2 linked regions of the Oryzias latipes genome follow. The main gene of each other region encodes a partner of the protein of the gene in region 2 in a complex. Links are inferred from orthologs where the notes say so. Each region holds a gene or a part of one and is shown on either strand. Other genes may lie near its edges.

Evidence for each region.
Region 1: the proteins of prkaa2 (region 2) and prkag1 are in contact, whole or in part, in a crystal structure (PDB 6B1U), measured with the Homo sapiens proteins. The link is inferred for Oryzias latipes from reciprocal best matches to the Homo sapiens genes PRKAA2 and PRKAG1. Residues at the interface, in NP_006243.2 of Homo sapiens: Asp329, Asn330, Ile333, Met334, Ala337, Phe340, Tyr341, Leu342, His366, Pro367, Glu368, Arg369, Met370, Pro371, Pro372, Leu373, Ile374, Asn444, Val446, Thr447, Pro530, Arg531, Leu532, Gly533, Ser534, His535, Thr536, Met537, Asp538, Glu541; in NP_002724.1 of Homo sapiens: His36, Asp40, Leu41, Ile42, Pro43, Thr44, Ser45, Val50, Phe62, Leu64, Val65, Thr66, Gly68, Val69, Arg70, Trp75, Ser77, Lys78, Lys79, Gln80, Phe82, Pro158, Glu159, Ser160, Gly161, Asn162, Lys170, Arg171, Lys174, Phe175.

Annotation. Positions count from the first base shown.
Region 1 is NC_019863.2:4,032,898-4,037,496, reverse strand, and holds the start of prkag1 (5'-AMP-activated protein kinase subunit gamma-1), read right to left. Parts: upstream 2,961-4,599; 5' UTR 2,552-2,960; coding exon 2,483-2,551; intron 2,289-2,482; coding exon 2,237-2,288; intron 2,153-2,236; coding exon 2,052-2,152; intron 1,986-2,051; coding exon 1,904-1,985; intron 1,827-1,903; coding exon 1,768-1,826; intron 1,654-1,767; coding exon 1,608-1,653; intron 1,530-1,607; coding exon 1,475-1,529; intron 324-1,474; coding exon 197-323; intron 59-196; coding exon 1-58. UniProt on the Homo sapiens protein: AMP/ATP-binding subunit of AMP-activated protein kinase (AMPK), an energy sensor protein kinase that plays a key role in regulating cellular energy metabolism.
Region 2 is NC_019862.2:3,535,229-3,539,042, reverse strand, and holds part of prkaa2 (5'-AMP-activated protein kinase catalytic subunit alpha-2), read right to left. Parts: intron 2,342-3,814; coding exon 2,197-2,341; intron 1,576-2,196; coding exon 1,488-1,575; intron 1,347-1,487; coding exon 1,122-1,346; intron 390-1,121; coding exon 227-389; intron 61-226; coding exon 1-60. UniProt on the Homo sapiens protein: Catalytic subunit of AMP-activated protein kinase (AMPK), an energy sensor protein kinase that plays a key role in regulating cellular energy metabolism.

The sequences.
Region 1 (4,599 bases), on a different chromosome or scaffold from region 2:
CAATATTCAGCTCCTCCACGGTTTTACTCAGGAATGAGGGTCTGGGCATCTCTGATATCTGAAAACAACAGATTATAACCATCCCAAGAAAACAATGGAAAAATGCTGCCAGGCTAACAAAAAGAGTTGTTGCCCCACAGTAGATTACTGCTGTAAAATGTGAAACTCGGGTAAAGACGACCTCAGAGGAACTCACAAACAGCTTCAAGAACTTGAGAATCCTCTTGTGTGTGAGTATATACAGGGTGTTCCCTGTCAGGGGGTCGATGACTGGCAGTCTGTGAATCTTGTTCCTCAGTAGAGATGACACTGCATCATACAAGCTATGGAAAAAAATCCTGTGAGATTCTATGTAGACTTTTTGGTCAGCACTTTTTTAAATGACAGATGCTAACATAAAGAAGTATAAAGCTAAAGCTTTTGAAGTGTGAAAAACAAGCCCACCGTAAGCTGAAATTTGGAATAGCAGCCACCAATATAGCTTCATGTCATTATTGCTCCATTTTTGGGGGTTAATAAGGTACAGATCCACCACCAGTGTGTGAATGTGTGAGTGAATGTGTGTGTGACTGGATGAATGGGTCTGTGACTGTAAAGCGCTTTGTCCTTGTAGGAAGAAAGGCGCTATACAATTATACACTATTTACCATTTACCAGATTACCTTTTCAAAAACTCTGACATAGTTCAGTACAGAGCCCAGTCAAGAACCTATTGCTTTCAGGCATTTGCAGATTACAGTGGAATCCCTGAACAAACATGTCAAGCCATTTCCTAGTTTCTCTTTTGGGGTAAGATAATGTCAAACTATTCCATCAGTGTTCCGGAGATGACCTATTCAATTACCAGTGCTATTCCCAATGCCGGCCCTGAAAAGGCTTAGAAATGAGCAATTTTCTATGAGAACGCCTCAGCTGTAGATCCACCTTAAAGACCCACTCCAATGAAAATTGGGTTTTTGATGTTTTTAACATGTTCTTGTGGCATTTCTCATGATTGAAGACACATATAAAGACAAATTTAAGCTCAAAATTGCTATTCTGAGTATTGCTTTATTCAACTTGCTGTGAATTAGGAGCAGACACAAAAAAAGCGACGCATAGAAAAGATCGTATGTGTGACGTTGAAAATACCCTGGGCGGGCGGCCACAAGCACCCTGCTCCAAGCTCTCAGCGACCAGGAGGGGAAGGGGGGCGGGGTTGCTCCACACCAACAGTCCCACCCACAAATCATAGGCAAATTTCTAATGAACTACTGCCGCTCTACAGAAACTATGTCCTAGAGAAGATTTGTTGACTTTGGCTAAAAATGGCATAGTCACAATTAAAAGACCACTGGGAACGCTTTGAGAATAGATCAAAAGATGATAGTATAATATAGGCAAAAAAACAAAAGACATTGTTTGCCCACTCATCAAGACTTTAAAGTAAAAAAAAAAAAAAAACACAAAGGTTTAAAGTGCTACTGCTGCTCACCTGGCATTGGGAGAAATGCTAACCAGAGGTTTGAAGGAGTCTTGAAGGTACAGTTCTATTGGAAACATAAAAGATCTTACTGCAGTGAACGTAAGAATAACTATGCAGCAAAACTTGTTCCAACCATTCCTACCTCTCCATGTTTCAATCTTGTGTTCTTCTAGTTCATAAATCTGAACCTGAAAGTGTAAATAGAGTATTAAAGAAAGTAGCTACTGTAACTAACATAGAAGTCTTGCAGCTGAAGTTGGACATTTGAAGGCTTCGTCCACTGGCGGACTAAACCATCTTACCAATGGTGACTTGTAGTAGCGATGCAGAATGTTGATAAAGTCTGTGATGGTAAGCATTCCTGTAGGGGAAAAAAAACATGAGCTATAAAGATGTTTATTCACTGAACTGAAATCCAACAAACAAAACAAATCTTACCGACAAAGCACTGTTTCTTACTGTCCCACAGAGGTGCTGCTCTCACCCCATTGGACACGAGAGCAAAGAAAGCCTTCTTCACCTGCACAATTATTGACAGTTACCAACGTTCAAGTGTTCATCTGATGGATTAAAAGGTTTCTCTTACCTGAAGTGATGTGTCAAACACAACTAGCTTGGAGCTGGTAGGTACAAGATCATAACAGCGATGAGACTTCATAAACCTCGTGTACGCATTGTGTTCGGAGTCTGAAGAATTGATCAAAACAAAAATGAAAACACACCTCAGTCAGTCTACGTCAGAGTCATAAGATCTACAGAAAAGTCTGTTACCTTCAATGACGGGGTCTTTCTTGCCCTCAAGATCATCAATAGTTACTGGAATCTGGGGAAACAATTACATAAAATAATAAAAAGAGCAGTTTAAAATATACCAACTGTACCAAAATCATAGGTTAGGATGGCTGACCAAATAACTGGATTAACCAAAGAACCGGAGTGAACATGTTAATGATTATTTGAAACACACCTGCGTATTTTGCACCATGTCAAAGTTTCTTTTAATAAATATATACTTACATTTGTTAATTTACCCGTTTGTAAAATAAAAACAATTTCCGTTGACGAAACTGGTCCGACGTTGTTCATTTAACCACCAGGAGAAGCCACGCAAAACAACAAACTAGTTCCTGAGAAGATGTTCATGAATAGATATACTTTAAGACGAGGTTACAGGTTATAAACATGCAGAAAGTACTTTAAGAGCCTTTGTTACTGGTTTTCTCTACACTAACGTGTTAGCTTGTTAGCTAACGGTCTGTCTGTGTCAGTCATTTACCTTCCCTCTCGAGTTAATTATTGGTTCAAAGACTTTAAAGAATGTCTTTATTATGCTTACTACAATTTAACCCGTTTATCCATGTTTGAATACCCGTAAATAAACCGTTTCCGAGGCCGAATCCTCAGATAGGGAGATTTCTAAACACACAACCGACAGATCGAAAACAAACGTGAAAAATAAGTTCGTAGCTAGCAGCTAACGCTAGCACTGTTTCCAACGTCGGCTTTAATGATTGTATGATGAGTTAGGAGCATATTGTGAGTAGGCTTTTAAATGTGCCCAAATAAACAGAGCCAATCACTTACACAATCCATATTCCATTGCCCGTTCGCCTCCTTTTGACCGGGGTGACAGGACGCCGCGCCAATCTATTTCCGCTCTGACCAGAGGAGCTGGACATGCGCAGTAACGAAGTCGCTGTAATCGGTGTCTGAAGTGTACACAAACAAATCTAGCCCAACCTTTTTAACGCCGCGGACCGGTATGGCGTCATTCAAAACTTACACGGTCTTTAAGATGTGGCGGGCCACTTTTGTAGGCAAGTTATGGAGGAACGGAGACATTAACATTACGAACACCAAGCTTTTATTTTGACAGACATGTCGTACACCGCACAGGTCTCATCCTCTCCCCTTCCCACTCTCGTGGTGCAAAAGAGAAGTACTGTATCAAATGTAGCTTTTTTTTTGGAAGTGGAAGGCTCCTCTTCTGCCTCCTGGCTGGCCCCTTTCCCCTTGGCAAATAAACTTTCCAAAGGAGTTTGTTTTACTCCTTTTGTTAGCTCCTGGGTTTTATTCTAGCGGTAACCCATCACGTGACCGAGAAGAGCGCCTTGGCCTGCGTCCAAGTGACATAGACGGTGTAACAGAATCGAGCAGTTTTTCAAAATAAAACATCTTTCAGATTCCGAAATAAAGCAAACGGATGACAGTTATTTATTCTGTGCGGCCCGCCAAGACCCAAGGACCGGTTATAGAACACATTTACATTTCTGGAATAAATTATGTCCTCAATCTTAAAATAAAACATGCAGTGGTTGTTTTCTTTTTTTTGTTACTTGTGACCGAATGCCCTTACATTTACACCCCAAATGGAGACTGGATTTGGTAGTGGTTAGTATACAATGTGATTAAAAACTTGACACAAGTTCCATAAAATTGAAGGTTACAATATACTCGTACAGTTGGACCGCGCTCCAACACTGCATGAGGGCGGCTGCCTCCAGGGACTCCTCAGCCTCACTGCACCAGTGGATAGCCACCAACAACCCCAAGGGAGATCTCCAATCCAAACCCTCATCAGGAGTACCTGTTCAGGGCCGCAATACACACAAACAAACCACAACCCCAACAGTGATTAAAAGAAAACACAAAACAGAGGAGGAGCACCGGAGCAGGACACCACTCTGTGTGGTTTCAAAGCCCTGACTGGGTGGTTTATTTTTCTGGCACAATTACATGAACCCCAATGAGGCTTAATGGGGCTTCTATTCCCATCCCTACTAAAAAGGTCCACATGTCAAGATCACTCACCAAGGCCAAACCAGGAAACCAGCGTCTAGCTGGGACTCCCACAGCTGCCCGTAGAACATAAATTCATTTTGCATTGTCTTAAAAAAATTGGTTTTGGTTCAGCTATTGTTACATTATACCAAATTTTTAACAGCTCTATTAAATTAGCAGGTGGCACCTCTCCCAGATTTAATCTAGAGAGAGGAATTAGGCAAGGTTGTCCTGTTTCTCCATGTCTTTTCCTTTTAGTTTCTCAACTGTTAACAGATCACATTAAATCCAGTGCAGTAGAAGGCATCAATCTCTTTGACAAAGAACTAATTATTACTCAACTTGCAGATGAC
Region 2 (3,814 bases):
GGCCTGCGTCATGATGCGTCGATTATCTATGATGAGGTGATACGCCACCGCTAACTGATCCTGTGTGAACAGGAGGAGGAGGAACAATGAAGACAAGATAAGACATTTCTTCAGATGTGACATCCTACAGCGTGCAACTGCAAGCATAAAATACTAGAAATGATGTCGGAGCTTTAGCTAAAGACTACTGTGAATTCTGAAAAACAGTCCTGATGTTTGTCAGTACCTGTGGATCTCCACTGTAGAGGCTGGACACCACTTCAGAGTCTGTGCATTCAAACTTCTCACACACTTCTCGAACAGCTTCCTCATCCAACACAGTGCAATCGTACGACGAGTCCTCCGGGAACAGGTAACCTGGCAGGTCCTGCTTAAACCAATCATGTTCCCTAACAAAGCACAAGAGGAACAGTCAGCTCAACCGCAATACCCTGTGTTACCCTACAGGGGAAAGAGCGGACAGCCCCGAGCCTCAGTCTGATGTTTCTGTGAGTTTATTAAATTATTATTTCTTGCTTTACTTCCAAAACCCCAAAGAACTGATCTTCTGTAGTGGCTGGAACAAAAGCAAACACAATAAGACAAACGTGGGAGCTTGAACGTTGGTCTTCACGACCCTCTGTCGTCCACAGCTCTATGAAAACAGGAAGACATTATTTTTTTAAAAGCAGCATTGCTGTAAGCCCAGAAATCCTTGGACTCATTACTTATTATCAGCAAATGTCCCACCGTTGGGATGAAGAGTTTGCATGACTATAATGACTGCAGTCGTAAAGAAACCTTTTTTGATTCCAGAGCTTGAAAAACTATTTCCAAGACTAAAGGATCAAATATCTTCATTGAACATTTTCAAAGCTCCAAGACGCCTGATATCCTAACTTTGAAAACAAAGTGACTGGAGGTGCCTGATCAGCTACAGAGTATGGATTGACCACCAATCTGTCTGCTTACTGAGATCATCTAAAGGTAATAATTTAGGTCATCTAGGCTTGAACGGAAATTCATTTGAATAATAGCTAAACTGTTGGTAATGCAGCAGCAACATCAATGTAGGCCAACCACAGAGTGCTTCAATCCACAGCAATGTGTGTTTCTGCAGAGCTCTGGACTGGGGTTAGTACCTGATGTCTTTGATGGTGGCTCTTTTCAGCGGATCCACCTGTAGCATGAGCATTAGCAGTGAGGCCACAGAGCGGGTCAGGTACTCTGGCATGTAAAAAACGCCTCCTCTGATCTTCTTAAACAGTGTGGGAACATGCTCATCGTCAAAGGGCAGGGTGCCACACAGCAGGGCGTACAGGATCACCCCGCAGCTCCAGATGTCCACCTCCGGGCCTGCGTACAGCCTGGAAGAGGTAACAGAAGGGGCAGTAGAACAGCATGAGTGCTGCAAGTAAAGAGTTCCCCTGATTTCTCACTAACAATGACAACTTTTAGCGTGAAAAGAACAACACCAACCACTGTTCTCCTTTTCTGCACGGACTCACCTTCCGGAGATGACCTCTGGAGCTGCATAGTTTGGTGAGCCGCAGCTTGTTCGCAGGAATTCCCCGTCTGACATCATGTTGGACAGTCCTGTTGGTCAATGACACATCACAACTTGCTTTTGTGTGATAAAAACTGTGGTGGATACTTTTCAACGTGATTTCAAGCCCTGCTGAGATCTTTATCCTCTTCAACCTGCCAAGACTCTAAGCTCTAGACATAAAGCCCTTCTAATTGGATGAGGCTGTCTTTCTGTTCCGGTTGCTGCCAAACATTAAACAGCAGCCAATCTGAGCCTCTCTGACCTTCACGTTATCTTTTCTTCCTCATCTCTTCCTTCTCTTTCTATCTGCTGCCTTTTTGCTCTCAGCCAAACACTTCTCCTGCAGCACTCCCCCTATTCATTTCCTATCAGATGACACTGGGCCTCAGGCTTCCTGCCAGACTTGATATGAGACCTACACATTACCAAGGGACGCCGCTTCACCCATAACACCCGCCAACTGAGCTCTTGTGTGCCTATGAAATTATTTTTCTCTTTCTTGGTCGGATTGCAGCAGGAATTTTGTTTTAAGAAGGAAACATAAATAAAACCCAAACCGATGAGTGAAACTTTATATTGATTTATTTTTTTACCCTTATAAGTACACCATGTTGCTTTCCACCCGAGGCAAGTAGCACACAGCTGAGGTTCATCTCTGGAAAACCTACCAAAGTCTGCAATTTTGGCATTTTTATTGGCATCAAGCAAGACGTTCTCAGGTTTGAGGTCTCTGTGCACCACCATGTGCCGGTGGCAGTAGTCCACGGCTGAAATGATCTGCTGGAAAAGACGCCGAGCTTCTGGGTCCTCCACCTTAAAGACACAATGTCAAGGAAGATGGTTACTGTGTGGTTTGGAGAGAATGTGCAACCCTACTGTTACCGTGGTGATACAGTGTTCCCTCGCTATATATAATCTATATTCACCTTTCACCGTCTCGCTGATAGTTTTCATTACAATTTTGCATGCCAACCCTAGTGCGCTGTGTTCTGACAAGGTTTAGAGCCAATCAGGACACAGAACACTGTGTACTAGGGCTGGCATGCAAACGCTAGTACACAGTGTTCTGTGTCCTGATTGGCTGTAGACCTTGTCAATCAATCTCCTCATGGCCGTGTCTCCTGTACAGAATGTGTTCAACCTTCCAAATCGACATAAATCTTTGATTGCAATCAGATCTATAATACTAGACTTTATCTTCTATGAAGATTTGAACTTTGAGAGTTTGAATAAGAGAGAAAAGTGTGAAAATGTTCATGTCTGTCTGACTAAAGCACATGTGTCAAACTCAAGGCCCGGGGCCAAATGTGGCCCTCCATGTCATTTTCTGTGGCCCGCGAGAGCATAAAAGTTTTCAAATTCTTAAAATAAAAATAAAAATTTGTTTGTGTTTATTCACATCTATGAGGAATTGGACTTGAAATAACGGATTGGGCAACTATACATTAGGACTTAAACACTGTCCATATAACCTAACCTGACAGAATCAAATGTAAAAGAATTTATGAAAGAGTAACAAGCAAACATGTTTTTTTTTCATTACATTTAGTGACATGTATAAGTCATATCTGGCCGTTTGAGGACAGCCGCTATGCTGATGTGGCCCTCAGTGAAAATGAGTTTGACACCTCTGGACTAAATTGTGGAAAGTGTTGTGAGGAGTTTTACTGACTGCAGTTCTACTTCACGGATTTCCCCTCTTGCGGGTTGTTTTAAGAACGTAAGCCCCACAATAAACGAGGAAACGCTGTATTAGGAGTCACTTCGGGAAAGTGCAGAGAACTATCAACAGGAAATGACCGTCACCTTCTCCATCTGTTTGGGTAAAGGGTCACCTCGGTACATAAATTAGAAATAGAAGCTGTTGTGAAGACGTCTTCAAATTTTGTTCTCAGGTATTTCTTACTTTAAGCTTTCGTGCATTTCATCTGTTTGCTTACGTCTTGTTCCACCCTGCTGTTCTGGATCTTCACTCTTGTTTTCCCATCCGGTGTTACAACCTCAGTGTAGTCTTTGATTTCAGATACAAATCCTTTTCGTCATGTTTTTGTTTTCTTGAGTTTTTTTGAAGCTGTCCTGTTTGAGCCCAGATTTTATTCATGCCTTTGTTTTTTTGTTTTATATTCTCAAGTTAATTTCCAACATGTGTGAATGTCTGTCATTTGGCCTCAACCACCAAGCTTTCATTTGAAATTTTTAGGACTTTCTTAGGTATAAATGTTGTGGAAATTCCGGTGTTTTGTCTGGTACTGTTGAAGCCCGGGAATTGCTCTGAAAGGCTGCAAT